2 linked regions of the Pelodiscus sinensis genome follow. The protein of the gene in region 2 binds, or shares a complex with, the protein of the main gene of each other region. Links are inferred from orthologs where the notes say so. Each region holds a gene or a part of one and is shown on either strand. Other genes may lie near its edges.

Region 1 (16,574 bases), on a different chromosome or scaffold from region 2:
TCCCTTATTTTCATTTTTATAGATGCTTTTTAATTTCAAAAGCTCTTTTTCCTTTGCCATTGAGCCAGGAAGAGCTTGGAGTCAAATTTGCCCTCTCTTAATTATGAAATTGTTATTTTGGGCCATCCAATAAACTCCTAATCTTCATTCACATTTCTCTGTCTAAACTTTTCCATCAAGTAAATTTTGCTCATATTTTTCCTAAATGTTGGGATATCGGCTCTTCTGAAGCTGAGAAAGTTTGTGTACACAGGCAGTCCCCGACTTACGCGGATCCGACTTATGTCGGATCCACACTTACGAACGGGGCTCTCTCGCCCCGGAGTTCACAGGCAGCGGTCAGCCACCTTGACATCTGGGGCGAGAAAAGCTGCTCCCGGTGCCCCTGGTCTGCTGGGGACCGTCTCCAGCAGACCAGGGGCATCGGGAGCAAAGCAGCAGCCCCGGCGGGTTCCCGCGCTTCTGAGGCTTTGCCAGAGCAAAGCCTCAGAAGCGCGGGACCCCGCCACGGCTGCGGGTTTGCTCACGGTGCCCCTGGTCTGCTGGGGACCATCTCCAGCAGACCAGGGGCACCGGGAGCAAAGCGGGTCCCGCGCCAGAGCAAAGCCTCAGAGGCGAGGCACCCCCCAGCAGGTGTGCCCCCCCCAGGAGACCAGGCTTTTGTTGTGGACCCTGGGGCAGAGCAGCTGGGGTGCTGCTGGTTGGTCCCGCAGCGCCGCTCTGGGCACTACTGGACCAACCCGGCAGCACCCCAGCCCTAAAAGATAACTGTTGCTCTGCCCCGGGCTTCCTGGAATCAGCGGCTGATCAGTTTCAGCAGCAGCTGACTTGGGGTTCTTAAGTTGAATCTGTATGTAAGTCAGAACTGGCGGTCAGTTTCAGCAGGAGCTGAATCTGGACGCCAGTTCCGACTTACATACAGATTCAACTTAAGAACAAACCTACAGTCCGACTCTATCTTGTACGTAACCCGGGGACTGCCTGTATATTCATAAATAAATAAAAACTGGTTAGACATGTCCCATTTGCCCACATTGTATGCACTCAGGCCAAGATCACTGGTCTCTGGTCAACCACCAACTTCCAGTCCAGAGATTAATCCATCTTTCTTCTTCAGGTATAGTCCCTTATGGGTGCCCCTCTTGAGGTGTACATGCATCCCACAGGCCTTTCAGCTGATGTTTTTAGCAGCAACCTCCATTCAGTCCACATATACCCCCAGCTATCCTAATGCCCTGTACTGAAAGTAATACAGGACTGCAATGGACTCTCATAGTTTATTTGCCCACATCAGCATGAGCCAAGGCATCTGGCAGCTATGCTTGCAATCTTAAAAGTTAACTAACTTTTAATATGTTTTTATGTGTATAGTTTATACACTTATTTCCTTAGTTAAATACATTTAATCTAGTTAATATTACTTGAAACCTGGTGGGATGATTCCCAGGGTTGAAATGTTAAAACCAGGGGTCCTAAACGGAAAGATTGAGTGTATGAAAGAGAAGGGAGTTTGTCTCAGTTGATGCTTATGCCATCAATCGTACCTGTTTGATGGTCACTGACAACCTGAAAGAAAACTGTCTAGACAATATGCTAAGAGATAAAGCACATGATGGCATATTAGGTGGAAACTGCTATATATCACCAAATTACCCTACAAAACAGGATAAAAGGCTTCTTAGGCACCTTTCGATAATGTGGGGGAGGGAGGGAGCTTTTTGATTATGAAAGACAGAAATTTCGTGCTGTCAATACTAAATCATCCTTGGAAATTCTAAATATTATGGTTGACAATTTCCTAACCCAAAAAATGTTGCATCCAACGAAGAGAAATTCCATATTGGACCTTGTCTTGATAGATAAAGAGAAACTAATCAGAGAAGTAAAATGTAATGGTAATTTAGGTACAAGTGATTACTATTTGATCACAGTTATGTGGAAAGAAAATGAAATCAAGACCAGTAATATATGTACTTTATAGAAATATAGATCCATATTAATCCTGACTGAACTATGATTTTAAACTGAGTTTAGATATACACATGAGAAATAGGCTAAAAGCATGTGTCCAAAAAGAAGGAAATAATAAGAAAGGAGGATTATTTGTATTAAACTTATAATTATTCTTGAAATACCAGTATTAAATTGTTTACGGTTAGGGATGAGATCACAGAACTACAAGAAATATGAGTAATTGGGTCACATGTGCAATAAATAATTGGTTTGTTTAGTTTAATAAAAGAAATACTTAGTTCACTAGTTAGGAAGAAATGAGAGAAAATGAGATAAGAAAGCCTTGAAAAAAAAAGAGGCCCAGTCATTAATCTTGTCTTGACCAGGGCATAGAACAGGGCTTCATTCGTCCTTAGTTAAGGTCCAATTACCAGCAATGAAATCTGTTGTTTGTTACATTGGTTTTCTATGTTTTTGTCAGAGCTTTCCCTAACCCCTCCTGAGACACACCAAATGCTTATCAGATATGTCAACATACTAGTTGACTAGTCACTTCCCCACCCATACGGAGTGCATAAAAAAAAAGAGGCAGTGGGGAGGGGGTGGGGGGGCGGTCAGCTGCCGTTTTGCTCCAGGCTCCACACGGCATTTCAAAGCAGCAGCGCCGTGTGGAGCCCAGGGACCCTGGGTTCCATGTGGCACTGCTTCTTGGAAACGCCACAGGGAGCACAGAGCCAGCAGAGGACTATATGAGTCCCCTGCTGGCCCCGTGCTCCCTGCAGCGCTTTCGCCTTTGAAATGTAGCAACAGCCCTGCAATCCCCACTGATATGGCCCCCAACTGAGAAGGAAAAAAGACACTCCCCACAATCCCCTCGCCAGAGCCTAGTGGGGCCCAAGCTAGTAGACTGTGTGCTCCAACCCCACAGACTCCCCAATGTTGTGGGGGAGTCCTGAGCCTCAGGGGCCGCATCCAAACCCCAGGCCTTATGTTCCCCACTCCTGGTGTAGACTAAGCCTTACAGAGCTGCAGCGGCACTTAGTGAACCTCTCCCATCAGCTTCAGCTTAGGTACTCTACCTCCCTGAGAGCCAGTAGCTATGTCAACAAAAGAAGCCATCCCATCATATAGCTGTCTACATTAGGAATTTGGTCAGCATAACCAGATTGCTTATGGATGTGAAAATCCTGAGCAACATAGTCATACCAATATAAGTTTGCAGCGTAGACCAGGACAAAGACAAGCACCCAAAGAATATTTAAAAAAAAAAAAAAAACATGCACACACACACACCCCACACAGGTGAGAATACATTTAACTTAAGAAATTCAAAGGTACACAAGACAACATTGGGTTAAAAACTGTTATTTTACCACACACACAGTGTAATACATAAGAAGAGGAAGTACTTTCAAAGTCTAATTTTCAATATTTTTGCATGCCTGATGGTCTAAGGATATTAGAGAGCAAAGATGGGCGAGGTACAAATGAGCTCTCAGAGGAAAATTATAAAATATAAAAACACCGTAACTCCAGTAGGCAAACACTTTTCACAAAGCCATCACTATACATCTGTCCCATAAGTCTTCATCTTCAAAGGAAATCTACACAACACTTTCAAAAGACAATCTTGGGAGCTTAAATTCATATCTTTGCTAGATATTAAAAATCATGGACTGAATAGAAACTGCATTTATGGCTTACTATAATCTGTAAACCACCCACAATCTCCCCCATCCATTTGCTTCCCCCCACCTCTCTCTCCTTATGAGTGAGGGGTTTTAATGTGCTATTTACCACACATTTCAAGGGAAATTACTTATACAGAACAATCTTTTTCTCCTTGTATTTGAGACACAAGGTGGGACAGACAGTATCTTTTGTAGAACCAACTACTGTTGGTGAGTGAGACAAGCTTTCCTATCTTAAACAGAGCTCTTCTTCATGTCAACTTGTATTTTAAGTGATATTCTGAGACTATGTCTACACTATAGCAGCCAAAGTGACACAGCTGCATTAATACAACTGCATCACTATAGCACTTCTGGTGAAGACACACAACACTATGCCTACACTAGCCTTTATGTCCGTATAACATTGTTCATGGATTCAAAAAAATACTCCACTGAGCAACATAAGTCATAGTGCTATGTTGCTCAGTGGAGTATTTCTGGGTTGCCTGAAGAGGAAATCCAAGAAAGGTCTAAAAGAAGTAGCTAAGGAACTACTGTATTGGACCAATACCTTTTGTTTGAGTTGCAAACACACAGCACAAAAATGTTTAAGTTCCAACAAAACATTTTTGATTTTAAGGTTAATTCATTCTGTTCCCAATTCCATTTACACAAACCTAATTCTGGGGTTATTATGAGTACCTGACAGTTTCCCTTCAAATAATTAATATGTCTATCACAGGACATTTCAGCTGCTAACAGATACAGCAGGGGCTATTTTAAAAATAAATCATCAAATCAGAAAAAATGGTTTTGAACTTTATTTTACACAGTGAAGAATGCCTAAAACATTTTCTTTCAGCCTTCCCTTATTTTTTTATGTTGGAAATCAAGCCTAGAAAATGCCAGAAAGACTATCAGGAGAACATGAGAAGAATCAAAGGAGTGAAAGTTGTCTAACTCTGTACTGCAGAAAATCCAATCTAAAGTAGGTGGCCGTACCTTAGGTCAAGCTACAGTGAGGGAGGGGGGGTATCGATGGGAGAAACTCTCCTGTCAATTTCCTAGACTACTAGAACTGGAAGAGACCTTGAGGGGTCATCAAGTCCAGTTCCCTGCCCTCACTGCAGGATTAAGCACCATCTTCATCCCTGAAAGATGTTTATCTAACCTGCTCTTAAATCCATTTTTCTCGTTGAAAGTAGAGTACAGGAGTTGCCTGCAGAGTGATCTGCCCTCAATTTGGTGGGTCTTCACTATCATAAGCTGCGGCTTATGACAACATATCGCCAGAATTCCTGAAAATCCTTGGCCCCCATGCTCAGCCTTAGTTTGTGCAGTTCTTTAACACAGTCAACAATGAAGACAAGCTACCAGAGATATGGTGCATTCCAAAAGACATTGGCCTCCCAAAGCCTGGTAAGGACCCTAGTCAAGCATCAAGCTATCATCCCATTTCACTACTGTTGGCATGCTTAAAGACACTGGAGCACTTGGCCCTCTGGCACATTTTACCTGAAGTGGAGAGAATTTTGAGCTCTGACCAAACTGGGATTCCCCAAGGCCATAGCATACACGACCAAGTACTCGCATTGCCCACATTAATTGAAAACGGCTTCCAGAAAACCTTGAAAACAGGCACTGTTTTCACTGACTCAACAGTACAATATGGTATGGCACGCTGGCCTCCTCGTGAAAGTATCACACACAGATCCTACTATCTTGGATCATGGGCGTCACTTAACTGTTCCTCCACCATAGGCAGTTCAGAGTCCGCATGGAGGAGAAAATGAATGCTTGGAGACCACAGACCAATGCAATGGGGGTGCAGCACTTCGTGCAAACACAGTTACTCTGTAGGGCTTGCAGTGAGACTGCTCTCACCTGGAGGAGGCTCACTCCAGAGCTAACTCAAGAGCCCTGCAGGGAAGACAACTCTAGTCACAGAAGAAGCGGCCTCCCTCTCTCACGCAGCCCATTTGCTCCCAGCCAGCCCCTCAGCCTGGACCCCTCCAGCTCCGAAGGCTCCTCACTTGCGATACCAGGCCCCTGCAGCCCCATGGCGGGGCAGGCCACTGAGCACTTCGGTTACTCCCAGCTCCCGCCTCTCCCCCTCCACGCAGCCGGGCAGGGTTACCCCAGGGGGCCTGGCCGGGCAGACTCGCCCAGAGCAGCCAGGGCAAGGGCCCCAGCTTGACAGGGGAGCCTGCTCGGGCCTCCCCCGGCGGCAGCCCCTGCGCAGGAGAGCGGCCTGCTCGCCGCCAGCGGGGCCGGGCGCCTCCTCACGCCCGTGTCCCTGAGAGCCGCCCCGCTCCGCCCCGGACCGACGGACGGACACACGCGCGGGGGGGGGGGGGGAGCTGCGCCGCCCCCCCCCCGGCGCTGCCGCCACTCACCGAAGTCGAGGAACTGCTTGATGGAGAGCGGCGAGGGGGAGAAGCGCGAGTAGCGCTCGATCTGCTTGGGCACCGGGCTCCGCAGCAGCGCCCCGCACAGCCGCATGGTGCGCGCGCCGCGCCCGCCCGGCCTAGCGAGCGGCGCCCCCCCGCATGCCGGGCACCTGCGAGGCCGCCGCCGCCGCCGCCTGTCACTGGGGGCGGGGCGGGGAGCGGCAGCACCTGACGCGCGCGCAAGTCTGTAGCCGCCAGAGCCCGGGCACTGCGCAGCCGTCGCCCGAGCGCATGCGCCAGATACTCCCCCTTGTCCTCCTCCTCCCCCCACTTGACTTACCCCCCCCCCCCCAGCTGGCTGGGGCGGGGCAGGGCTCGTAGTGGGGCAAGTGAGGTTGTCAAAGGGGGGGGCCCTCATCCAGGGCAGGGCAACATCTTGCCTCTCCCTCTTGGCACAGGGAGAGACTGTCACACACACACACACACACTCACACACACACACTCTGCCCCCCAGCACCTCCCATGTGGCCCTCCTGGCACAGAGCAACACCTTCCATGTGCCTTCTGGCACAGGCAGAGACTGTCAGTCGCTCACACACTCACTCCCCATGGTGTCCTTCCTGGCACAAGGACAGAGACTGCCACACACAAAGCAACACCTTCCATGTAGCCCTCCTTGCATAGCGACTGTAACACGCCGCAACAACTTCCATGTCTCTTCTGGCAGAGGGGGAGAGACACACACAGAGAAACACCCTTTATGTCTCTCCTGGGGCAAGGTCAGAGACTGGCATGATCCCGTCTTTGCCTCCCCCACAGAAGGGAAAATACTGCCATAGGCCCAGCAACCACTCTCACACTCACGCTAGGGGCACCACTAAATGAAAATACACCCACCCAACAAAATACTCTTCCTTTTACCCCCCTCCATAGACTCACAGGAGAACAGCCTCTACCACACCCTTTCTCTCCACACTGGGAAACAGGTGGCATGTTCACTGAAAAAAAAGCAACCAAAGATGCGTTTAGATGGCTAATGTAAAATCCCAGTTGGAATAAAGCACTGTTACCTTTACCTTGATGTAAGCTAGTTGAGGTCAACACTAAGTGGCAGTGCAGGTTGATCTCAACTAGCTGCATCCAAGTAAAAACTGTATTTCATCTCCATTGATCTTGATTCTGGAGCTAGGTGTCTCAATGTAAAATGAACTTCTTTTGCAGTGACAAAGTCAGAGACTTTAAGGGTCTTGTGACCTGCAGGCAATGATGTATGTTTAACCCATGTTAAGTAACCAGTGTTAGAATTCTAATGTAGATCAGGCAAGTTGTAGTATTTAACCCATATTAGCTGATAAAGGAAAACCTTCACATTCCCCACTAGGTATGCCCCCTTGACTAGCTTAGATGGGTTGGATTTTAACATGGTTTAAACAGCTTTTTTTCTAATGAAGTCACAGCCTAACTCATCTAGTAATACTGCCTAGCCCCATAGGTGGGGACACATACAGTAATATCCACCTAAAAGACTATAATACAGCAACATCTACTTTTATGGGGAACAGAAAAGCGGGTGACTTAACCTAGAATGACACTGTTAACAGCAACTCCATAGGTAAAACTGGTATCTGAGGAATTAGGTGCCACACAGTTGGGGATCGTTTTATCTCAGAGGTTAGCAGCAGTGAATTAGGAAGGAAGGGGCAATGCACTTTTATAAGGGTTGGAAAGTTATGAATGTAGGTGGCTGTATTAGTCTGGATATGGTAATTAGAGGCTAAATTTAGCCTCAAAGTAAACATAAATTTCAGGGTGGGAAGCAAGGGACCAAAAGGCTTGAGACACTCCTATGGGGAGGAAAGGGGCTATAGAGAGGAGGTTGGACTCACCTATTAAATGAAATGTTGGAACCTGTGCCTGGAATTTCGGGTGAACCCATTCCTTCACAATAAAGCATAATTTATTGATGTGCAGGGAGAGGATTGCTCCATTGCCAGTCTGATACACTCTTTAGAGCCCACATGTCTAAGGAATATTGTCAATGAATGCTGACACAAATGAAGCATTATTGTTATTATGTTATAGTAGCACTTGAATGCTCCAACAGTGATCAGGGTCTCATTGTGGTAGGCACTGTATAAACACATCATAAGAGAACATTCCTGTTGCAAATTGCAAATACCCTCCACCTAAATAGGTAAGACAGAAAGGGGATGGAAAGAGAAAGAAAGGAAAAATCATGTGCCAATGGTTGCAAAGCATCAGTAGCAGAGCTGGGATAGAACCTGGAAGTATCCTGAGTAGTGTCACATCCACCAAACCAAGCTGTCTATGCATTAGCCTAAGGCCATTCAAATATTTTTAAAAGTTTCTTTCTTTTTTCTTTTTGAAAAGCCGAATCCCACAGCTGTCACTGACTTCAGAGTCAAAATGTCTCCCCAAATCTTAGTGTGCCTACAATAATTTTCTAAGAAATAGTTGTTTCAAAGGTAGCTTGTATCTTTAACCATTTCACAACTTTGCATTTTGTGTTATCTCTGCCTAGACTTCAGAATTCATATTTTTTCTAGCCATTGCTACTTCTAGGTTATTTTATTATTACTATCATTATTATTATTATTACCAAGGTATATTTATATCTCTTGGTATTGTTTGAGTTTTCATGTCTGAAAGCAGTGTTGGGAGAGACTTACATGCTACGTCTACACTGGCCCCTTTTCTGAAGGGGCATGTAAATTTCACGAGTCGTCGTAGGGAAATCCGCGGGGGATTTAAATATCCCCCGCGGCATTTAAATAAAAATGTCCGCCGCTTTTTTCCGGCTTTTAAAAAAGCCGGAAAAGAGCGTCTAGACTGGCCCCGATCCTCCGGAAAAAGTGCCCTTTTCCGGAGGCTCTTATTCCTACTTCGAAGTAGGAATAAGAGCCTCCGGAAAAGGGCACTTTTTCCGGAGGATCGGGGCCAGTCTAGACGCTCTTTTCCGGCTTTTTTAAAAGCCGGAAAAAAGCGGCGGACATTTTTATTTAAATGCCGCGGGGGATATTTAAATCCCCCGTGGATTTCCCTACGACGACTGCTAAAATTTACATTCCCCTTCCGGAAAAGGGGCCAGTGTAGACGTAGCCAGACTGTGTGGCTGAGGAAAACAAAAAGGCAAGGGAAACTGATATAGTGACAGGGAAATGTCATAATAATAAATGTAACCAATGGAGAAACTTCTACTCAAACCAGGTATGTTTTATGCACTGAACTTGGACTCCAGTCATGTAAACGTATATATATATATATAATTAACTGTGAGCATATGTATGTTTGAAGGATCAAGGCCATATTGCACACCTGGGTATACTAGATAAATAGTCTTACAGAGAATGGGGACTTGATACTGCTTCATATGAGGTAATTACAATATTACTGTTTTTCTTTGCTAGTCAGATAAAAACAGATTTATTGTATGGAAGTGGGTATTCAAATTTCAAAAATATTGCTTTCTCTGTCTACTCACTCCTTCAGATGAGTGGAGAAAAAGGAAAAATCTCCCAGTTTAAAGCAGAAAAAGAAGTGGGGGCGCAGTCAATTGTAGTGCCATTGCTAAATGAGGCTAACTGAGTGGGCTGTAAGTGTCCCATACTTAGCTTTTGATGTCATTTGGGTGTTGATTATAATGGCCCATCCAGTTCATGTCTTTGTTCAGTCCCCGAGAGATAGTGTCAAATTTGCAAATGAAGGCCCATTCCCCTATCTCTCTCTCTAGTTGGTTCCTGAAATTCATTTCTAGAAGAATGGCTACTTTTAAATCCATTAATGAGTGCCCAGGCAGGTTAAAATGTTCCCTTAGATTTCTGTAGTGTTTTTTCCCCTCTCTCTTCTTTTTCTGCTTTACATTGGGAGATTTTTTTCTTTTTCTCCACTCATCTGAAGAAGTGGGCTTTGCCCATAAAGGCTCGTGACATATATTGTTAGTCTTAGGACTACTTGTTTTTTCAAAAGTTGCAGACCAACACAGCTACCGCTCGGAAACTGCATTTTACTGAGCAGTTTCAGGGAGTAGCCGAGTTAGTCTGTTATAGAAAAAAAAAACAACAAAAGATGAAAAATGGGGCACAGAGAAGGTAAGACCAACAATTTTCAAACTTGAGTAAATGAAGGTAAGCACCTGATTATATTTAAGCATCTACAACAAAGTGGCCTTATTTTTAGAGATGCTGAGGCCTCAAAGTTCAGACTGAAGTCACTGGAAGCTTTGACTTAGATTTAGATGCCTAAGTTTAGACATCCACATTTGAAAATGTTGTCCTACATGATTTGACAAAAGGCCACAGAGGGTGTCAGTTTCAGAGCAGGGATTATTGCTCTGCCCAGTCCTCTGGCAATGTTGAGCTGAATCTCCTTTTATCCATAGGTCATGTCTGCCATGCCGCAGAGGACCTCACTCAGTCACAGACAGCTGTCTGGTAAGTGACTTTTCAATAGTACCAGTGTTATCATAGAATCATAGAATAATAGGACTGGAAGGGACCTCAAGAGGTCATCGAGTCCAGCCCCCCGCCCTCAAGGCTACAATGTTGTTGTAGCCACATTAGCCCAGGATATTAGAGAGACAAGGTGAATGAGGTAATATCTTTTATTAGACCAATTTCTGTTAGTGAGAAAGATGAGCTCTCAGGTTTACAGGGAGCTCTTCTTCCAGTCTGGGCAATATATTTGGAATGTCACAGCTAAACACAAGGTGGCCCAGATCGTTTAGCACATACATATTTCAAGGGACAATTCAAGGGAAAGTGGTCCATAAAGGGTATGTCTACACTGCGGAGTTTTTTTTTGGAAAACAGTTGTTTTTCCGAAAAAACTTACACTGCAAGAGCTCTTTAGGAAAAAGGTGTGTGTGGATGGGGAAGAGGGAGCTCTTTCGAAAGAAGGGGAAAGAGGAAAAAGCACAGGTGCCCTGGTGGCCACTCCATCCATAGTAATCACAGCTTAAATGCGAGATGGACACTATCTTTCAAAAAAGCAGATCACTTTTTCAATGCGTTTTTGCTGTGTAGATGCTCTCTTTTGAAAGAAGGTTTTCCAGAAGATCTCTTCTGGAAAAGCTCCTTCGGAAAGAAGCCTGCAGTCTAGACGTAGCCTTACCGTTAAAAGGTCCCCGCAACTATGGAGGATGCAGAGGGATTTGCCTCACAGTGGGAGTTCAGTGCATTCCATAACAGATATGAGAATACAGAATCATCTGTTGATGTCTAAGTTCACTTACTTTGTAAAGATTGGTTTTTGCCTGTTTTTCAGGTAGACTGTTACAACCAAAATATTCAGAAGTACCCAAGTTTTGGTGCCCAGTTTGAATCACCAAAGGCCTGAGTTTTCAAAAGTTTGGAGGCTCCACCACTCCCATTGACTTCAATGGCCACTTTTGAAAATCTGATTACAAGCTGAACCTCCATTGTCCTACAAGGGGAGGTCAAGGCGCCCTACCCAGATATAGGGTTCTGCTCCCGGCTGGAACTGCACTCCCTGCCGCTGCCTCCAGCCTCACACCTTTCCAGTCCTGGCCAGGACTGCACCTCCCACAGCACCAGCCCGGGCTGCGCACCTAGTGGCTGGTCCCACTGACTCCAGCCCTGGCTGGGGCTGCACTCTCTCCTGCCAGCCCCAGCCAGGACTGTGCTCCTGACCACTGGCCCTGCTGCCTCCAGCCCCGGCTGGGGCTGCGCTCCCCCACCACACCAGCCCCAACCAAGGCTGTGTTACGGACTGTGCCAACCTCAGCCGGAACTGTGCTCCCCACCTCACCAGCCTCTGAGGGGCTGCGCTACTGGCTGCTAACCCCACTGCCTCTAGCTCCAGCTGGGGCTGTGTTCCTTGCCACCTGCCCTGACCAGGGCTGCACTCCCCACTGTGCCAGCCTTGCTCGGGATGAGCTCCCCACCACCAGCCCAGCTTGAGCTGCACTTGTGAAATTGGGCAGCTGGGGCTCTCTGTTCCAGTGATATCCATGGTCCTGCCAGACCACGGATGTTGCCAGACCAGAGAGTCCTAGATTTTAGAGGTTCAATCTGTACTTTTTTTTTTCTATTTTTATGCTTTAGATATTTTGATACTTTTATAGGATACTATGCACTTAATAGATAAAGATCTTTTTATCAGGCTCTCACACATATCACTAATCTTTATTCATGTGAGACTTACGATGAAATAACTCAGATTTAGTCACACATGCTCACTTTTTATAATCTTTTGTGGACTGCTGCTCATTAGAAATTGTTCGATTAGCTCTGTCGGTCAGGTGTGGAAAATCCACCCCCCAAAATACCACAGTTAAGCCAACCAGAGTCCCCATGTAGATTGACCTAGCTATCTCCCCTTCCAGAGGATTACCTACACCAACAGGAAAATTGAGGTAGTTTCTACACTGAAGTGTTGCAGCAATGGGCTACAGCAGCACAGCTGTGCCTCTGTAATATTTTAAGTGTAGGTGAGTCCTTTTTTTTCTATTTCACATCCTGTGTTTCCAAAAGTTTGGTTTTTACAGTGAATATTTTGTCCAACTGAAATTAGTTAATTCCATTCTTAATAACCATTCAGAATATTAAATCACTGTTCCTTATAATCACTCTAAGAAAACTAATTTTTCATCATAATAGAAAATCTGGGATTATTATTTTACAAAATGACAGTAAAACAGAGTACAGAGAAACAGGTACGAATATAGTTATTTACACTTCAGATGCACAAATCACATCCATTCATAGTGCTATTTCCTCAACAATAATGTGTAGAAACAAGGGAGAAACACAGAACCATAAATTAAGTCAGTGGACAGAAGGAGGATATATTGGGATCACTTTTTATACATGAAATGAGTAAGGGACAAGGGCCTTTAAACTTTCCCAACCTTAAAAAAAAATTTGGGTTTGAGTCATAGTTTCCCCTAAGGGGCACGGCTGCATGGCCATGCACAAAAAATTACCTGCCCGCCCACCTCCTTTGCAGAGAATGCCAATGGAAGGTGAGGTGCAGCTGCTGCTGCTGCTGCTGTTACAGCTGGGGGGGTGGGGAAGGCTCATCTGGGAATCTCTTTGATGTCCCCGACTCCCCAGGGCTGCGGCCAAGGCCACATAATAACTGCCTAGCTGCTCCGGGGGCTGTGGCAGAGGCTCCTCCACCTTACAGAGCCGGCCCCAGATTATGTGGCCGTGCCATGGCTCCTTTGCCTGCCGGGGCCAGGACTGCATGGCTGTCCACCACCAGAGCCAGGGCCACGTAGTGGCAGCGGTGCCAGCTGCTCCTCAAGTGGCCAGGGCCTCCCCCAGAAGTAGCTGGGAAGCCACCATGCAGTTGTGGCCCCAGCTTCAGACCTGGGGAAGGGCTGGAGCTGGGCTAGGCCTGCATGGTAGCTGCTCCCAGGGCAGGCCACGGGGCAGCTGCCAGGCCTGGAGCTGGGGCTGCAGTGTGGCTGCTCCAGGGGCTGGGCCATGGTGTGTTATGGGGGTGCAGGGGAGCTGCTGCTGGAACAGGCTGCCATCACTGGCAGAGCAGCGCTGGAGACACTAGGCCTTCATCCCAGCCCTTGAGTGAGTTGCCTTTCTCTTCTGCCTTGGAGGTGGAGGCAGCTTTCCCAAGGGGAAGGTGCATGGCGGCACTGCTCAGCGCTCTGGGTCTGCTGCAGCCCACACAGAACTACCTGCCGCTTGTCCTGCTGCTGCTCTGCCATCCTGTGCAGACAGCAACAACATGGCTCAGACACTGGGGAGGGGGATGATGTTGACTTCCACAGCAGTGTGCCACAGGATCCCATCACGGCTGTGGAGAAGGGAAAGGCACACACCCTGCCCCAAATACTGCCTGGTTGTGCCAGTTGGTTGTGCTGGTGGGTGTCCATGCTATTTGTGCAGCATTATACAGTGTGGCCATTTTGCACTCCAGTGGCACAAAGGTACCCTAAAGGCAGTGATGACCCTTCTCTACTTGGGTCTTATCCCCAGTGTAGGTAGGGGACTCCCTAGCTTTCTTAGACCCAATGAAATGGCTCTGTGGTGCCCTCCCCCCCATAAAGCTCCCGTTTTGGGCATTTTGTAGGAAATCTAGAGCAGTCGCACTGTGCTTATTCTTGGCCTCCTATGACTTCTATGGAACTATGAGCAATGCAGACTTAGGGTAGGTCTACACAACAGGGCTATTTCTGGATACTGGAAGTATCCCAGAATATCTACCCCACATCTTTTAAACACGCCTGTTATTTTTTGAAATAACGGGTGTGCTATTTCAGCATCCCTATAGCCCTTGTTCCACGAGGGTTAAGGGATGTGTTGAAATAGCCTGTTATTTCGAAATTTGGCATTGTGTAGATGCCCCAAATTTTGAAATAAGCTATTTTGAAATACAATCAAAATAAGATACACAATTTGCGTAGTGCAAATTGCATATCTTATTTTGAGTTTAGGGTGCTGTGTAGATGCACCATTACAGTAGCCCTGAGGCTAGTTTAACATTCTGTACAACAGCATCTGGACTTGCTTCTGGCAAGATGGAAAATATAGAAGGCACAAAGGGGACTTAGATACATCTTTCACTCTTTCAGCATTCCTGCACTCATGCGCTGTGGTCATGCCTTAGTGTCCTTACTTTTCTGCTGGATCTCATACCTCTGATGTTGCTAGCAAACCCTCCAATATCCTTCTGGTGTTTGAATTCTAACAGTAATCATAGAATCACAGGACTGGAAGGAAGTTCATCTGCTCTACATCTAGTTGGGGAAGAGCCTGGGAGAGAGCTATAAACAGAGGATGTTGGCTACTCAGAAATTTGCAGTATTAATTTTCTTTTTATTTGACTTCATATTAAATAAACATTTAAAATCATGAACCTTGTTAATTATCCTATTTCAGTATTCTTTCTTCCATAACATTTTACAAAATATATATAAGATATTTTTAATAACTTGGGTTCCACAGTGGCACACATCCAAACAAGTGCAAATTACCTCACTATTGGTGCACAAGACAAAACTCACTCCACTCACGGATGGAAAATCTTAGTGGGAACACAGGTTTGGATCTTATTTTTACTCATTTTGCCCATGCCTAGAGTTCATTGGGATAAGTTTGAATGTGCTATTCCTTGTGTTGTTCAATAGCCTAACAGTGCACAGAGATGGGTACTTCACATGATATTTCTAGGCTTATCTCATTGTTCCAGCTTCAGAGATTTTTGTAATCCAATATTGTATCAAACATTTACTGAATTCATTTCATTATCCCCACCGGCTCGTCTTTCTCTAATAGATGTTTAATTATAGCCTGGAAGTTATCAAGTTTGACCTGATCATTTTATTAACCTGTGTTGCTTCTTATTCACTGGGTTCCTCATGCCAAACTCACTAGTGTTTACAGATAGCTTAGTTAGGGTATGTCTACACTACCCCGCTAGTTCGAACTAGCGGGGTAGTGTAGACATACCCTTAGTTATTTGTTTTAGATTTTACATGGGACTAAAATTAAACTCACTGCCTCTGTTTTTAAAGCTTTTACAGTATTATTGTGACCAGTAATTGCTCTTAAACTATTTCTTCCAAGTGTTATTGGGTTTTTCCTCTTGTTTGTTTCACATGTTCATTTTACATTGCAAATTTGCAAGTTCACCACAGAAAAACTTCCTGTGTTGGAACATAAGTTAAATATTATCTTTAACCTTTCTGTGATAACAAGACCTTCAAATATACTATTGCACCTTCTGCTGATACTCTGGCATGAACATAATACTTTCTGACAGATTCTGAGGGCACTGGATATTTCTCCATACCGAAGTGTACAATAAGTATTTTAATACAAATTTTATTTGGTTGTCTGTAACATTTCACAAACTAATGGTTTGGGTCCGCCATTTTAAAGCAGTTCTACAGACCTGTCTCATCATCTAGTCCAAAATCCGGGCTCCTAATCCACTCAGTGGCAAAATTCAAATGAAAGTATAAATGTCTGTAGTGGAATTCAAGATGAATCCCAAACCAAAACTTTCAGATATTTCTATTCACCCATATATTTCTATCTCCACCGCCAGCTACATATACCACTCTCATTACTATAATATTCAAGTACCTGATCTTGGGAGAGTTTGAATCTGGATCTGAATTCAGGTATTTAGGTCAATTTCTATTTTGGTTAGATCATAGCTATTCCAGCATTAACTTTCACATAATCCTCATGGGTCTCTAAAAAGTGAGTTTTCTAAAAGCTCAAAGGATAAGAATACTAAATGCTACAACGGAGCCACAAAAGAATCCCAAATTTCTAAACAAAATTTTAAAAATAATTTCCCCTTTCTACAGAAATAACATTTTCATGATGAAAATTCTACACATGTTCTGCTGTATAATGTATTTTTTAAAAGATTACATTATTTTAACATAACTACATCCAATACCTAGTTTCCTGTCAGAAATAACCTGCCATTCATTTGGCTAGTGAACATAATCACTAAGTAACATACAAAATCTTATCTTGCAAGATATTCTGGTGAATAGTAAGCAAGATTGTGCCCAACACACTCCACCCCAGGGGAAGAA
Region 2 (16,211 bases):
TTAGCGATAGATACCAGCCTACAAGGTGACAGCTACAAAGCAGAACCCCATCAAACAATGATGGGAACGTAAGGATGTTTTTAATAATGGATTTCCTTTTGATTTTCCCCTCATTAAGCTGCATTCCTCAAAGCTCCACCACACCATTAGCTGCTCAGTTATATGGTAATGGAAACCATATAAACACCTGCAGAGGCAGGATGTGCTTCTACAGTGAAATGCCACAGTGAGAAATTAAAAAAAGAATCTCTCATCTCCTATTTCTGAAAGTCCTACATAAGCTGACTCCCCAGCGCTTTCAGATACATTTCACACTGTCCAATCACCAGCATAATCGTCAGTCTTCAGAATTCTTGTACTATGCCATCTGGTTGCAGTCTCCAGTAGGGATGTGAAGAACTAGTCAACTATTTGATAAGCAAATGCTTATCGGAGAGTCGACATGCTAGTTGACTAGTCGTTTCCCCTCTCCCCCTCTTGCTGTTGGGGTGTAACTAGGCTGCACGTGGCATTTCAAAGCAGCAGCGCTGCATGGAGCCCAGGATCAGCTGGGGAGTCCCCTGCTGACCCAGGGCTCCGTGTGGCGCTACTGCCTTGAAACACCACGGGGAGCCCAGCCTCAGGCTCCCTGCAGCATTTCAAAGCGGCAGCGCTGTGTGGAGCCCAAGATAAGCTGGAGTCCCCCGCTGATCTGGGGCTCCACCCAGCACTTTCGCCTTTAAAGTGTAGCAACAGTTGTTGCTACACTTCAGAAGAGGAATCGCCCTATCGACTAATCAAATAGTCGATATTTAACATCCTTAGTCTCCGGCTGCTTCCCAAGAGCAGAAGCTGCTCCATACCCTTGTTGTAATAGTAGTACCAGAGCTCACAGATTTGAGTCCTACTCACAGGGGCAACCTTTGGAGGCACAAATGACTCAATATCTTTCTTCGTGATTCTGCCATCTGGTCCAGTACCTGGTGGAGGTATACATGAAACATAAGAGGTTTTCATGCAATGCCATATTAGGAACATGCAAATAAAAATGGAACCCGCTCCCTTTCCAATACAGTCACTTAACTGGAAGGAAATTGACAGCAAAGCACACATCTAAGGGCAAAAGAGACTTGGATAAGAACGGAAATGGTAATTCACCTTTCACTTGTGCAATGTCGATTCCTCTTTCTGCTGCCAATTTCTTCGCCACGGGGCTAATTATTATTCTTCCTTTATGTACAGGAGCCCCAGGTGGGGAGACTGCTGGAGCTGAAGGGACAGTGGGCTGGAGAGGAGGAGCTGCCACCTTAAGAGAGTTGGTTAGACACAGTCGTTAGTTGCACAGATATTCAGCTAAAGTCTTACACGTGAGAAAGCAAAGAGAACGTGGGCCTCTGGTTACCAGAAACCAACCAGAGAATGTTCATAAATGAGCAATAAAAGTGATCAGGGCTGGAGGGGCTGATTTAGGAGATTAAGGAAGAGAGTAAGAGCTAGAGCAGCAAAACGGTGGCCAGAATCAGAGGTGGGGAACACTACAAGGATAAGGAAGAATTATTATTTAGGAAGGTACAGATTACATTTTCTCATACTGTCTTCTATCAGAAAGCTTTTCGGGTGTACAACTCATTGGGCTGTGGAATCATCTCCCAGAGGAAGGGGCAGTAAGTAATTTACATCCTCATCATTTGGGGTGTTTAAAACTAGAACAGGCAGTAGCCCGGAGAACAGGTGTAGGGAACAACCACCATCAGTTCCCAGAAGATAGACTGACATATTGTATCCATCTCATGTTATCCTTCCACTCATGATCCCACAAACACGTGGATTGGAGTTCCATCTTCAAAAGTCCAGCAGGATTATTCAGGTCAGATTATGCTAATGGTTCCCTACTTCTCTTCCCTCTCAGAGATCCTCTTTACCGGAGTGGGGGGTGGTGCTTGTGGTTTGATGTCAGCTACTCCAGTCTCCCTATAGTCAGCAAATGCTGGAATATCAGACTCCTTCTCCACAATGATGCAGAGTGCCGTTCCTAAGGGCACATCCCTTGTTCCTTCAGAAACCAGAATTTTTGCCAGGTAACCTTCTTCCTGCACTTCAAAGCCTTAAAAGAAAAAAAAATGACTGATGAATGCTGGGTAAGATCAAACAGCCAGAAAAAGCTGGAATTGGGGCCTCACAACCTTACCACAGTGGCACAATGAAGAGTTCTAGGTGATGCTTTCAGTCTCCTCCAGTAACTAAACTCCTGCTATTTGTAATGGATCTTTAAAACAAAACTGAACGAGGAGAAGTCTCCACGTAAGGCAGGTCTAACACAAGAGGATTGGTGCAAAGCTGGGAGCTGCTTTTAACAGCTCTATCAACTAGAACTACAAGAGGACAAGAAATAGCTTTAAATAGCTCCTTTTACATTACACCAAGGCCAGCTGCCCCTTCCAGTGGGAAAAGAGTCTGTTTTGAAGCTCTACTATGAATCACTCTCAAGAGGTTACAGAACAATCTACTGTCCCTCTTAGGGCTAAAAATTGCTCACCTATCGTGGCTTTGTCTGTTTCAATTTCTGCCAGTAAGTCTCCTTCACTCAGTTTCTCACCAACCTTCTTCTCCCACCTTTGAACCGTACCCATCGTCATTGTAGGCGAGAGAGCCGGGAGAAGAATCTACGGAGTCAAAAGAATGCGAGTGTATCACAACAGACAACTGAAAGTCAACAGGAGCATGTAACCCCAACAAGCAAGTTACCCTTGAGAATGAGCTAGGGATTAAGGATGTCAAGGACGAGTCGACTAGTTACTTTCCTCCCCCACCGACAGAAGCAGCGAAGAGATGTGTGTGTGTGGTGGAGTATTTCAAAGGGGCAGCTCTGCAGAGCCAAGCCTGGGCTCAGATGTGCGAGGATGCCCCTTTGACATGCCGAGGCTGTGTTCAAAGAGGAGCACCACACAGCTGATCCCCAGCTCAGCTGTGTGTCGCTGCCCCTTTCAAACACTGAGGCGGCATTTCAAAGGAGCGCTGTGGAGCCCAAGATCAGTGAGGAGTCCCCAGCTGATCCCAGGCTCCCCAGCATTTCCACAGAACCTGGGGTCAGTCCCCAGCTGATTCCAGGTTCCACTGAAATGCCACGGGGAGCCCGGGATCAGCTGGGGATTCTGCAGCTGACCTCGGGCTCTACAGCGCCCCTTTGAAATGCCGCCACGGGGATTCTTTTACATTTCAAAGCTGGCACGCCGTGTGCAGCCTGGAGTCAGTGGACTTTCTGCTGGCCCCAGGCTGCACAAGGAGGAATGCGGAAGTGCCTATCGACTAGTCAATGGAAATTCTATTGACTACTCGACTAGTCAATTAACCGCAATTTAACATCCTTACTAGGGATGTGAATGGTTAACTGGTAAACATCACCCCTCCCACATAACTGGGACCCAGCAGAGTAACAGAGGGTGTAATGAAACTCCTAAATCCCTTTTGTAACGTTTAGTGGCCTACAGAAATCACATGATTTCAGCAAGCCACAAACCAAAGTTAGAGGCCTAGACTTCCTAAACAATGAATGGGAAGAAATGCACTTTAGAAAGTTATCCGCAAAAGCCAGCACACTAGACTGAGAACAACGTAAGCCAGTCAGTAGGGATGTTAAATAATTAACTGGTAATCAGAGGTAAATCGGCCCTTGCCAGTGAACTCCGATGGTGGCCAGCCATGCCAGGCCAGATCAGCCCCAGAATTTGACCAGTTAACCATTTTAACATCCCTACCAGCCAATGCCAACAACAGGGGAGTGTGCCTCTCTCATACAGATAAGCACTTGTGCGCAGGCTGCAGGGAAGCACCTATCTCAGCTAGTGACCGTGAAGGGGAACCAGCCACCTAAGACGCTTCTTATGGGAATGAGTTCAGCGCCTGTCTCATTCCACACAGAAACATCTGGAGGATGAGGTGGTGGTGGGGCCCCACACCTTATAACTTTCAGCCCAGCAACTGAGTGTTCCCCTAGGACGTGGGAGATCAAAGTTCAATCCTCACCCTCTGTCATGATCATGAGGGATGGCCAGCAGCCTGGGGATTCAGGAGTTAACTGTATCTAGCCAGGCAGCAGTCAGCCAATAGAAATGCAGATAGGGATTTCAAACTGAGACAAAGGAATTTTTGGTTTTTCCCTCCTTTCTTTTTTATTAAGCTGGTATTAGTTAATTTGTGTGTCCTGGTTTTACTTCAGGGCTGAGATTTCCCAAGTGATCTCTTCCGTGGTTTTCTTACCATTACTTGGGTGGTGGCAGCGGATTTTTATCCCCAAAATCTAGGTTTTTGGGATTTTGGGGGGGAAGTTTTATATCCAAGCCTGGAAAGAGAAGGTTTTGGGGTATTTTTGTGGGTCCCCACTTCTGCATTCATTGTACCAGAGTGGGGAATCAACCCTGTCACCCTCCCACTCTAATTAAGAGGGTGAGAAAGGGTTAGAACAGGGATCTCCCACCTCTCCAGAGCACACTCAAAACACTGAGCAATGGGATATTCTGATGTGGGGCTCCCTCATTCTCTCCTCTGAAGTTGTTCCATTGTGGATCAATAATGAACGTGTAGCTGGAGCAGGGAGATTGCACCCAGGGTCTCCCCTCTCCCGGGGCGTGTCCTAAGCACTGGATTACATAATTATTCTCTCTCCCATTCTAGTCCAATGACTAGGTATTTATCCTCAGGAGAACAGTCACTGGGCCAGAGACAGAGCGTGGCTTCATGTGGCTTGTTGGGTGCCTTCATGCCTTGCTCCACATCTATGTCGTTAGGCCCTCTGCTAGCCACATTTAACCAGTCAATATCATTGCCTCCTAATAAGGAGAGAATTATGTGCACATGGGAGCTTTTTATAGCCTGTGGGAATTGGAATCCCAGGGGGAGCAAATGACTTTCCTCAGATGATACCAGATGCCCTATAAGTTTTCAAAATATAACAGATCAGGGTCCCCCCACTGAAGCCCATTTTAAATCTGCAGAATAGATCAACTGACCCACACTCCTGCAGCTAGAGCCAGTGAGACCTATGCTTTGTATCCACATCACAGTGCCTAGGATATAACAGTTTTAGAGAGGCAGAAGAGACACCGACAAATGTTAAGGAATAATTCACTGAGGATATGGATATGCTTTACCTGCATGTGAGGAGGGTAAGAGCTTCCTGGAGCCTGCACAGAAGGCTGAGCTGGTGTTGGGGGAGCTGCTGCTGGAGGGGGAGGCACTGAGGCTGCTGGGACAGCAGATGCTATGGAATCCAAGGTAAAATTCTTAAAGGCATCAATAAACTCAGGCCTAGAACAGGAATGAAAGAAGATAATACAGAAAAAAATTCTTCATCAAGAGCACCCAGCCTGCCAGGTTCCCAAAACAGTATTCTAGTGAGATGTGATCAATCCACTTACTTTTCAACTGTGATGCATATTACAGACCCAATGGGAACATCCCTTGTCCCTTCTGATACCAGGATCTTGGCCAAGTAACATTCTTCCATACTCTCAAACCCCACCGTCGCTTTGTCCGTTTCCACCTTTGCAGAAAGAGAATGATCTTGTAATGGGGCAGGGGCGGGGGGAGCCTTCACATCAGCTCAGAATCATGAAGTTTGATGTTTGTGGGTTAGAGGTGAAGATTCCTGGTGCATAAAGCCATGGTGAGAATTAGCTCATCTGGCAGCAGCAACTTGGTTGAAAAGGAAAAGACACTGTAGAGCAAATAAGGTTCAATCGCTCTCATAAGGAGGTAGAAACAGCAGGCAACGCGGAGAGGCAGTGGGGTTGTGGCTGTTTTTAATTCCTTCAATAAAAAGGCTTCAGAAGAATATTTTTATTATTTGTATTTCATTGTACCTAGGTGCCCCAGACATTGATCAAAACCCCACTGTGCCAGGTGCCATATATATATAAAAAAACCTAGAGAGTCCTTCCTTTCCCAACACAGGTGTCTGGGGTGAGGACTCTCTTTGGGTTTTGTATACGTATAACTTGTTTTATATAAGGTGCTTGTTTGAAAATTTAACAATTGGCTACTAGAAGCTGGCATTATGGGCTGATGAGAGGTGGGAGCCAAACTTACAATGCTGAATCAGAGATAAGAAGTAAGGATGAAGTCAGAACATTTACATCTGCTTGGGGTGACCTGAGACAAAATCCGGGGCATGTACTTAGTATGGGGGCAATTTTAGAAATGATAGCGTGTCTTGTCCTCTAGTGATGGTGTAGCTTCCCATCCCACCAGAAAGTGAGAGGCCCTAAGGGAGATCTCATCCACAAGAACTGTCCCTTGGTGCCAATGTTCCCTTAAAGCTTTTCCATCCACGTGCGGAATTTTTCTATCAATATGTGGAATAAAGTTTATGTACACCACGATATGTGGAAATGTGCACCACCAGTAGAAACAAAAAACCTAACTGTGGGCACTCTGCTAATCAGCTGGGAAGTACTGGAATCTCTCCTGAGCAGCTGCACAAGTGCACAGCTTACAGGGAACACTGCTTGGTGTCCCATAACTGGTCCTCCTGGTCGCGAGTAACCTCTCCACAGTACCTCTGCAATCAGATCTCCCTCGCTGATCTTTTCCCCTTCCTTCTTCTCCCACCGAGCGATAGTCCCCATCTGCATTGTAGGGGAAAGAGACGGCAAAGCCACCTGCAAAAGAACAACCCAGTCACAGTAAAATTACCATGTTTTACAAGCAGCCCTGAAACAACCTTCCACCAAGAAAGGTGAGAGGCCAGTTCATGCTCTCGTATCCAGAAACAATCAAGGTGTCAACCATAAAGTAACCATAAAGCTAATGCAACAATATTTATTCAGAGCCCTTCTTCCCAATATGCCTCATAACTGGGACAGACTCGCCGCACTCATCCCCTTGAGCGCTAAAGGGCAGCTAATGACGCGGTGCAAGGCAGGGGGACAAGGGCAAATCCCAGTATCGGGAGATCCATTCTCAGCGAGGGCAGATTACTGGGCTCTCAGCAAGCGGCTTCTAGGGTGATCGGGGTCACGCCCTGCTGGTTGGGGGGCCTAGGAAGAGTCGGACCCTGCTCCAAGGCCTGGCGGGCGAGTCTGTGGGGTGGGGGGGACGTTTCAGTGGGGGGGTGCAGTGGGGGTTCAGGGAGCAGCCGCAGGGTCGCGGAGGACACGAGCCCAGCGGGGGGGGGGAGCAAGGGGGTGACCCCGGCCGGGGGAGGCTGGGAGCGGCCCCCACAGCCCCGGGGGTTCGAGTCCCGGCCCCTCACCTTCTGGTGGGGCGGGAGGCTGCACCACCGCCGGGGGGCGGGGCGGGGCCAGGGCTCCCTCGGCGGCAGCAGCAGCCCCGCGGGCCCGGGCCCCGGTTCCAGGCTGCTCCGGCCCCGCGCGGGCCCCAGGCTGCCCCCGCTCAGGGCGCGGGCCCCCCGGCCCGGGCTCGCTCCCGCCCCGCCAGGCACCCGCCGCGGGGCCGCGCACGGGGCCAGGCGCCGCGCGATCACGCGCCACATGCTGCAGCGGAGCCGGGACCCGCCGGCAGCTCCGGCAATGACCTCGCTCCCCTCCGACTCCGGGCGCCCACCGCGCTTTACGGCAGCGACAGTGTCGCGAGGAGCCGCAAAGCGCAGAGGCCCTCCCCGTGCCAGCGTCCTGGGGAGTGAGAGGGGTGGAGGGAGGAGCTGGGGGCAGGCAGGGAGGGGGTGGAGGGAGGAGTAGGAGAGGTGGAGGGGGGCTGGGAGCAGGGGGGTGGAGTGAGGGGGTTGGGGGGAGGGAGTTGGAGGGGGACTGGGAGAAGGGGGGTGGAGGGAGGAGTAGGGGGTTGGGGGGAGGGAGTAGGAGAGGTGGAGGGGGGCTGGGAGAAGGGGGTGGAGTGAGGGGGTTGGGGGGAGGGAGTTGGAGGGGGACTGGGAGAAGGGGGGTGGAGGGAGGAGTAGGGGGTTGGGGGGAGGGAGTAGGAGGGTGGAAGGAGGGCTGGAGGGAGGTGGAGGGGGGCTGGGAGCAAAGGGTTTTGGTGGCAAGGTGGGGAGAAGATGGGGGATCAGTAGGGTCTGTGGAGTCTGGGGGGGTTATAGCGGGGGTGGAGGTGCAGTTTGGGGGAATAACTGGATAAAAGACAGCACAGAGATGGGGGGCATAGGATAGAACAAAGGATCTGATGCAGGGTAGGAGTAGGGAAAAATCACAGACACTTGGGGGGTCTCTTCTGTTCTATTCACTCCCATTGGTGCCAAGACCGCTCCGCAGTTGGGCACTGGGAAGGTGAAAGGTTACAGGAAGCTAAATACTGAACCCAGATGTGCTGATTCAGTGCATCCTTCTGCAGCTGTCAACCAAGTCCCTCCCTGGTCACCACCGTGCTGCCCCTGTGGGGAATGTAGCTCCTTTTATGATGCTTGTTTTATGACTCACAGGCAGATGCTGTGATTCTTGTATGTACTGATGAAGGAAAAATGCTACACATACTATGAACATGGTTGAGTTTAAACTCATGCAGACCCGCAGAATGCCCTAGGAGGGAGGGAGTTGTGAGATATAAAAGTCAGGTTTTGTCATCACTTGCCAGGTGAGGAACATGAGGTTGTTCCCTAGCTGGGAAGTTGGCTTTAGAGCACAATCAAACCTGTACGTCTGTTCTGCTTAGGCCCCCAGCAGCAGGCCACCAACTTCAGAAATAGTGCCAGGTTGGTCTCAAGCACAGGTTTTAGCATCAAGGTCTTAATTTTTATTATTCAGGGTGTCTCTGCCTCAGTTTCCCCGTTGGTTAAATGTTCCAATCCTTCAGCTACCCTTAGGGCATGTCTCCGCTGGGGAGTTATTTTGAAATAACTCCCCTTATTTCGAAATAAGGTATTCGAAATAATGGGCTTATTATTTTGAAATAACTACTCCTGCTTGTGAAGAGGAATAAGCTTATTTTGAAATAGTTATTTTGGAAGTTATTATTTCACAACTTATCTTGAAATAATGTGATAGTGTAAACATAGCCTCAGTGATTTCCTGGGTGGAGAGGAAACATTAACATCTGTAAAGTGCTTTGAAATCCTTGATTGGCAAGTTCTCTCTCTACACAGATGTGTATTTTTGTTATTATTACTGTTCTAGGGCTTCTAAATTATTTAGCAAGAACTGTTTTCAGCACCCAGAAGTAGCCTCTACAGTGCTATCACCATCAGTAAACCCAGCCACTGCACCCTGCATGCACAAACATGAAAGTCTGTGGCTATAGGAGTACGTGCTCACAAGTTTCAGTGCACTGAGCCCAAAAGCTATTACACTGCATTTCATTTTAAATTATATGAGCAATTTGGTCTGGGTCAGGGGTTAGTTGTAATTTTAAAATATCATCTCAAAGGCTCACTTTTATTTAAAAATTAATACAAATCTTGGAAGTAAGGAAGCAACTGATGAGCCCAGAGCTGTTTAGTATACTTGGATCCAATCTGCTCTTCAAGGTGAGGTTCAAGTTGTCGTCTCTGAAGATCTTGGGAACCAGATGGAAAAGACCCACTAGTGCAAGATTGTCCCTTCTGCACTGTATTCTGTTCCTAGCACCTAGCTAACAGGCCTGTACACATAAGCATTGTACACCGATCACAAATGAGAAGCTTCAGTTCAAAGCCACTGCCCTCCCCACATAAATGGATTGATTAGACACCATTTGCAAACTACAGTTTATTGAGATTTTTTTTCTTGGTCCAAAAATTCAAAGTACATCCAGTCACATATATCCAGCTCCTAGATATACCAATAAACCTCAGTTCTCACTCTGTTGGAGGACATGCAAATTGAGAGAAACTAACTTTCCAAAGAGTGATGAATGCAAACTTTTATAGTTTATAAGAAAATATAACTTTATATATAGCATGTGTGTTAAATAACCAAGTTACAACGATAAGGAAACCAGAAAGTAGCTTTGAAGAAAGTCAGGCAGAAATAAACTTATCTAGAATCAAAGGAAAACATAAAGACCAAGTCCAATGTCTGATCTGATTTCATATGCTCTGCTGTAAATCGGGATTAACTCAATTTAAGTGAATGGTGTTATGCTATGTAAAACTGGTGTAAGTGAGAGGAAAAGTGTTCCGTGTATACCTACTCTTTTCCAGGATTATCTTGTTCCTCTTTATTTTGTTAACATCTTTTCCAGACCTAATTCATAGGCCTTTCAGCTCATTTATACAGTGACAGGACATCAAGAGAAAACTGCCATGTCATTACAGAACAAAGCTGAACCTAAGTGGTGCAGGTGTTTAAGCCTCTGAGGACAGCAGTCCTGGGATGGGATCATGGCATGACCCTGGCCTTCAATTATAATATGAGAAAGGGAATAGTTCTGACCTCAGGCTCTCTCATATAAATCGCAGTGACTTTGGCGGGTGTTGAATATGCATATCCAAAGTCAGAGTTCTGCCAAAACTTTTCAAGGGTTTGAACTCAGTGTAGTAACAATCTGTTCTGTCACAGAGGGAACAAGGGTTCTGTTCTAGTATGTAAGGCTACGTCTACACTGGCACCCTTTTCCGGAAATGCTTAAAACGGAACAGTTTTCCGTTATAAGTATTTCCGGAAAAAGCGTGTCTACATTGGCAGGATGCTTTTCCGGAAAAGCACTTTTTCCGGAAAAGCGTCTGTGCAAATGTAGACGCGCTTTTCAGCAAAAAAGCCCCGATTGTCATTTTCGCAATCGGGACTTTTTTGCGGAAAAGAAATCTGTGCTGTCTACACTGGCCCTTTTCCGGAACAGTTTTCCGGAAAAAGACTTTTGCCCGAACGGGAGTAGCATAGTTTTTCCGGAAAAGCACTGATGATTTTACAGTAGATTGTCAGTGCTTTTCCGGAAATTCAAGGGGCCAGTGTAGACAGCTGGCAAGTTATTCCGGAAAAGTAGCTGATTTTCCGGAACAAGTGGCCAGTGTAGACACAGCCTAAGTGTTTTTAGTACTGATGAAGTGCTTGGATGACAGTGCTACAGAATTAAATCTACAGAACATTTGTGGGTAGTGCATGTTTCCTTCTCTGTGCTGCCTCCAAATGTACTTCGCCCATGCCCTGAAGAAAACACAGGACAGTAAGTGGCTCCAAGGCTTATTCAGTCCTTGGCCCCTCTGCTATGATTGGCTACAGGAGATTCGATGGTGACAGTGGTTATGGTGATGTGAAACCACTAAGAACAGGACTGAGATTGCCAACTTATTCCATCTAGACCATCAGCCAGCGATTGCTTGAGTGGTGATCAGAGTCACTACTGAGCAAAACTGAACTGAAACAGATGACCTACAAGTGAGATGTACTGTCGCAATAGCAATTATGTCAGCCATCGACTCACCATAGATAACTCCAACACTGCTCATCTCTTAAAAGCAGAGAGGGATACAGGACGGATATGTGGAGGCCTTTTGAAAAATTACTGTTTTAATTATTTCCATAAAATGGACAAGTCTCACCTAAAACACACAACTCTTACTGAAATTAAGCAGACTAGTAAAACTTGAATTAAAAGTCATTTAAGAGAAATTGCAATTGAAATGCAACAATGCATTTCTGTATGATAAACTCATGCAGTCTTACAGCGACTTACTAAAACACATGCAATAGGGAAACCAGTGATTTTCCAGGGAGGAAGAGAATTTCTGTTTCTTTTCAGGACTGATACTGCTTTTCTCCCATTGAGGAACTTTCCCAAATGCTGATGTTTCTGCTGCTGTTTGTAAAGACAAGTATGTGTAAATCAGCCCACGAACTGGAACAGATCAATAATGGTCTACCATGTTTTACCAGTGGGGTCAGAAAGCTATCCAAGCCCTTCCTGCATACAGAGGAAGTAATAAGACAAACTATGTGTAATTCCTGTTTATACAAGAAACAGCTGGTAAAATATAAAACCAATAGGAACTAGTTGTACTTTTGTAGTAAAATAAAGCTAGTCATTGAACACACTTTGTGTGCGGTGTTAACAGGAGACTGTATAAAACACAGAGACATTCTCTAGAAAATGAGTAAACTACAGCACAGTATTGTGGAAATATACAGAAAGCACTTGCACTGGTATAAAAATATACACCTCAGACAATGATGTAAACTGGTACAAAATAATTCCAATAAACAGGAATGAGTTTACAAAAGGTCACGTTACTATAAAATAATAAAACCACGTTTTCTTCGTCTCCCAAGCTCATGCGCACAACTCAGACAAGCAGGCAGCCCAACAAAGGGGCACGTGTACCAAAGGTGAACAGACTGAGGCTGGACTCACTGTTTGACCTTTTCAGTCAATAGTGCCTGTTTGGTGCAGACTGCAGCCAGCCTTGCAGAAACCTGACTGCCTGGCAGTAGGAAAGCAAAGCCCATCTCCCGAAGGGTATATCTAGACTGCAATAAAATACCCATGGTTAGCTTGTGTCAGCTGACTTGGGTTCAGGCTACAGGGCTATAAAATTGCATTATAGCTGTTTGGGCTCATTCTGGATTCAGAGCTTGGGCTCCAGCCTGATTTAGAGGTTTACACGGCAAGCTTATAGCCCCACGCACCCTAACAGATATTGTAGCATGTGTTCTCCAACTCACCATCTTCTACTCCATTAGATGCCAGAGAAAAAGCATGCTGGGAACTGGGATGGTACTGATGTTGCTGAGTCACAACGTCTATCCTACAGGTTTGGTTATTTGCTTAATGGCCTTGTCAGTCAGTGAACATCAAGTGCATGGTGACGCCTGCACAGAGAAAGCTGGAAAAAGGAATACAGATGCACCAACAGAATAGACTCTGTCACTTCATCTCTGACGAAACAGTCCTGCTTGTTCCCTGGGAGAGTAGATGAGATCTTCTGTCTGCCCTGCTGGACATATGGTAAGGGAAGGGATGGTAATAGCTACAGGGAAAAGGAGCTGGCAAAAGGAGAAGCAAAAGTACCTCATCACCTCTGCTGGGAAGTTAGGAAGGTTCCTGCTTCCTCCTCTGAAACAAAAATCCATTGGCTGTTAAGTAAGCACCTGGTTACCAAAGAGTTCCAGGGCAATAAAGGGGCTTAGATCTGACTGCAAGTTGGTAGGCAAACAGCAGAAGCAACCCTAGGAAGTGGAAGCCTGCATCTGGGAAGAAAGACAAGGTTGATCTTTGCTTTGGTACTGCTCAGCACAATCCACAGACTTCTTTCACTGTCAAGTTCCTGGTGCTCTTTGTGTGGAGAGGCTGCAGAGTTCACTGGCGGGAGCGCTGCCCCTTCGGCCCCATACCTCAGGAATGGATTTGGTCAGACCTTCTGGCAGAAACTAGAATCTAGCAGCATTTTCTGATCCATGAGGGCAGAACTTATTGTTTCAGGGATCAGGGCAGGTTTGTATAATACTGAATGTGTCAAATCAGAGCTGAAACCTGCAGACCCCAAACAGCAGCAGGCGTTTCAGGGGGTGGGGGAACCAGGAGAATGGAGAAACACGTCATTAAGGCCTCCAGGGTTTTATTGACAGGACAAAGCAAGATGAGTCTTTCCCACCAACCTGTAAATTCAGTCTTACAACACTGTTTGCATTTGGCCATGGAAAGCTAGACGCCAGGCATCCTCGCACACAAAAAAGTGTTTTACCCGTTGTTTGAGAGAAGTCCTCTCTTTTGGCAGCTTGAATTGGATGTGTCCCAGCTTATGCTCTTTTTGGTCATTCTCTCTGAGCAGTGCAGCCAGTGACAGGTCCCCACAAAAACAAGACCCACAAGTCCGATTAGTTTTCCCCATGATCCTCTTCCACCCAGGCTACAATTTTCCCTTCCCAACCAGGAATGATGTCATCATCATGGAACACCTATAAAAAGGCAGAGAGAGAATCGGGTCACTTCTGGAGATAGACACTGCTTTGTTACATCTGCATAGCATGAGAGACAGAGGTACAGGTTGAACATCCCTAGGCCGGCACCCTTGGGACCGGACTGGTGCCAAACCAGAAAATTTGCTGAATGTCATGAGGTCAATATAGTCTGGCAGCATTACTAACAATTCCACTGCTTGCTGGGCTCTTAGAAGACATATTGGGGGTAAATCAGAGCTAAATAACAGCACAGAACAAAATACAGGACTATGTAGCACTTTAAAGACTAACAAGATGGTTTATTAGATGATGAGCTTTCGTGGGCCAGACCCACTTCCTCAGATCAAATAATGGAAGAAAATAGTCACAACCATATATACCAAAGGATACAATTTAAAAAAAATGAACACACATGAACTGAGAGCCAGGACTGGTGGCTGTAAACAAACTTTATGGGACTGCGGGAAACTTGGCCACACCCATGATAAGTGGATATCCAGCTCACTACAATCATTCCAGACCATTGATGTTGCTGGACCAGAGATTATTAGACTAGAGAGATTGAACCTGTTTTATTATACCAAACAATACAAATAACTGGCACTTACACAGCTCAGTAAGGCTATATCTAGACTGCAGGCTTCTTTCAGAAGCCGCTTTTCTGGAGGAGATCTTCCAAAAAAAAAAACTTCTTCTGAAAGAAAGCATCCACATAGAATAAGCACATCGAAAAAGTGATGTGCTTTTTTGACAGATAGCATTCATACAGTGTGGATGCTATCTCACATTTAAGCTGTGATTACTATGGACGGAGTGGCCACCAGGGCACCTGTGCTTTTTCCTCTTACCTCTTTTTTCGAAAGAACTCCCTCTTCCCCATCCACACACGCCTTTTTCCGAAAGAGTTCTTTTGGAAAAAGGCTTCTTCCTCGTAGAAAGAGGTTTACCAATATCAGAACAAATCCACTGTTCTTTCAGTTTTTTTTTTTTCAAAAGAACGTGATTGCAGTGTGGATGTAAGTGAAGTATTTCCGGAAAAACGGCTGTTTCTGAAAAAAACCTCTGCAGAGTAGACATACTCTAAGTTCCCAACATGCTTTAAAAACAGCTTGCTCCTCCCCCTCAAAGAAAAATCGAGGATTATTATCCCAATTTTTCTGACAGGCTATGTGAGGTGCAGAGAAGGATCGTGATTTTCTCAAGGTCCACAGGGAGGGAAGGCAGCATCAGAGCTGGGATTAAAACTTGAGAACACCTGGCTCCCAGTCAAGTGCTCAGAATGCTAGATTGTCTCTGGAGAAACTGGCACTGATGTATTCTTAACAGACGTTTCTGAGGGAAGGGAGCCCCTGAAGGGTTACTGTGTGGAGAAGGAAGAGGACCTTTGCTGCATGAAAACAGCAAATTACAAACCAAGAACCACATTCAGCTGTGGCATAAATAGGCTCTTTGACCTCAACAGGAATTGCAGCACTTATGCCAGAGCTGACTCTGGCCCCAAGTATTTAGGATATTTTAGAGAAAGCCCATCTCTACCAGCTTGGCTCACAACCGTGGGCCACAGAGCCACAACTGGAACAAATGCAGCAATGGCATAGATGGAGAAATGGATCAAATCCCGTTGGCCTGTCCCATTCAGGAGACTTCTCTGACATCAGTAAGATGCAAACAGCCCAACAATTTGATATAGGACAGTGCTACCCAAAGAGCTGGGTGCTGATCTTGCAGGTTGCAACTCAGGTGTCACATTGGCTCTACTTCCTCCAAATCAAGCTATGAACAGAGTTTGGAAGGATAAACTGAGTGTCTGCTTTGTTTGGAAGACTCTCTTTCTGCTACAGAACGTAGGAGACCATCTGATAGTTGCCTTTTAAGGATACAATTTGGAATCTGCATCCCCCAAATAGTACGGTCACAGGGAGCATCTCTGGAATCAGCTGGCACTGTGAAGGCGGACCCTGCAAATCACCATCCACCACTTGTGCTGCTTTGCGATCACATGAAAGTCAGTGCTTTGAGTGGGGCCTGAAGACATCTGCTTTTGGCTCTTTACTTGGGGCCTGTCATCCCATAAAGTGTAGCTCTGGAAACGGTAGCTTTGTAGCAAGTTAGAGATTTCACTCACATGGGATGTGAATCTGGCAGAGATTTCCAGGCTGTTGCTTGTGCTGTGATCTCACACACAAACTTAGATTATGAGAGAGCTGCTACTAAAGGGGTCAAAGATACCTCCTCCTTGACTGTGCCAAATTCGGGATCCAGGGCTTTGAAATGATACCGGTGGGTTCCTTCCCGATCGATAGCTGCCTTGAAGTCCTTCAGAGTCACCTCACCTAACCTGCAAAACAAGAGTTAAGAGCAATCTTTGCTGACACGTTCTGCCACAGGATTAAGATCAAGAGCTTGGACACAGCTATCATATGGCACATTGAACATCGGCACCAGCCTGGATAT

What was found.
Region 1: the proteins of DLAT (region 2) and PDK3 are in contact, whole or in part, in a crystal structure (PDB 1Y8N), measured with the Homo sapiens proteins. The link is inferred for Pelodiscus sinensis from reciprocal best matches to the Homo sapiens genes DLAT and PDK3. Residues at the interface, in NP_001922.2 of Homo sapiens: Ala225, Leu226, Ser227, Pro228, Thr229, Glu248, Gly249, Lys259, Ala260, Ile262, Glu265; in NP_005382.1 of Homo sapiens: Arg21, Phe22, Ser23, Pro24, Ser25, Pro26, Leu27, Phe48, Lys51, Val55, Asn373, Lys374, Ser375, Arg378.

Annotation. Positions count from the first base shown.
Region 1 is NC_134711.1:205,234,684-205,251,257, forward strand, and holds the start of PDK3 (pyruvate dehydrogenase kinase, isozyme 3), read right to left. Parts: upstream 6,282-16,574; 5' UTR 6,129-6,281; coding exon 6,023-6,128; intron 1-6,022. UniProt on the Homo sapiens protein: Inhibits pyruvate dehydrogenase activity by phosphorylation of the E1 subunit PDHA1, and thereby regulates glucose metabolism and aerobic respiration. Can also phosphorylate PDHA2.
Region 2 is NC_134736.1:6,909,553-6,925,763, reverse strand, and holds the start of DLAT (dihydrolipoyllysine-residue acetyltransferase component of pyruvate dehydrogenase complex, mitochondrial), read right to left. Parts: upstream 7,548-16,211; 5' UTR 7,469-7,547; coding exon 7,229-7,468; intron 6,636-7,228; coding exon 6,534-6,635; intron 5,519-6,533; coding exon 5,394-5,518; intron 5,284-5,393; coding exon 5,127-5,283; intron 2,643-5,126; coding exon 2,516-2,642; intron 2,084-2,515; coding exon 1,902-2,083; intron 1,286-1,901; coding exon 1,138-1,285; intron 960-1,137; coding exon 892-959; intron 1-891. Other genes in the region: DIXDC1 (dixin), read right to left, coding at 13,674-13,754, 15,987-16,095.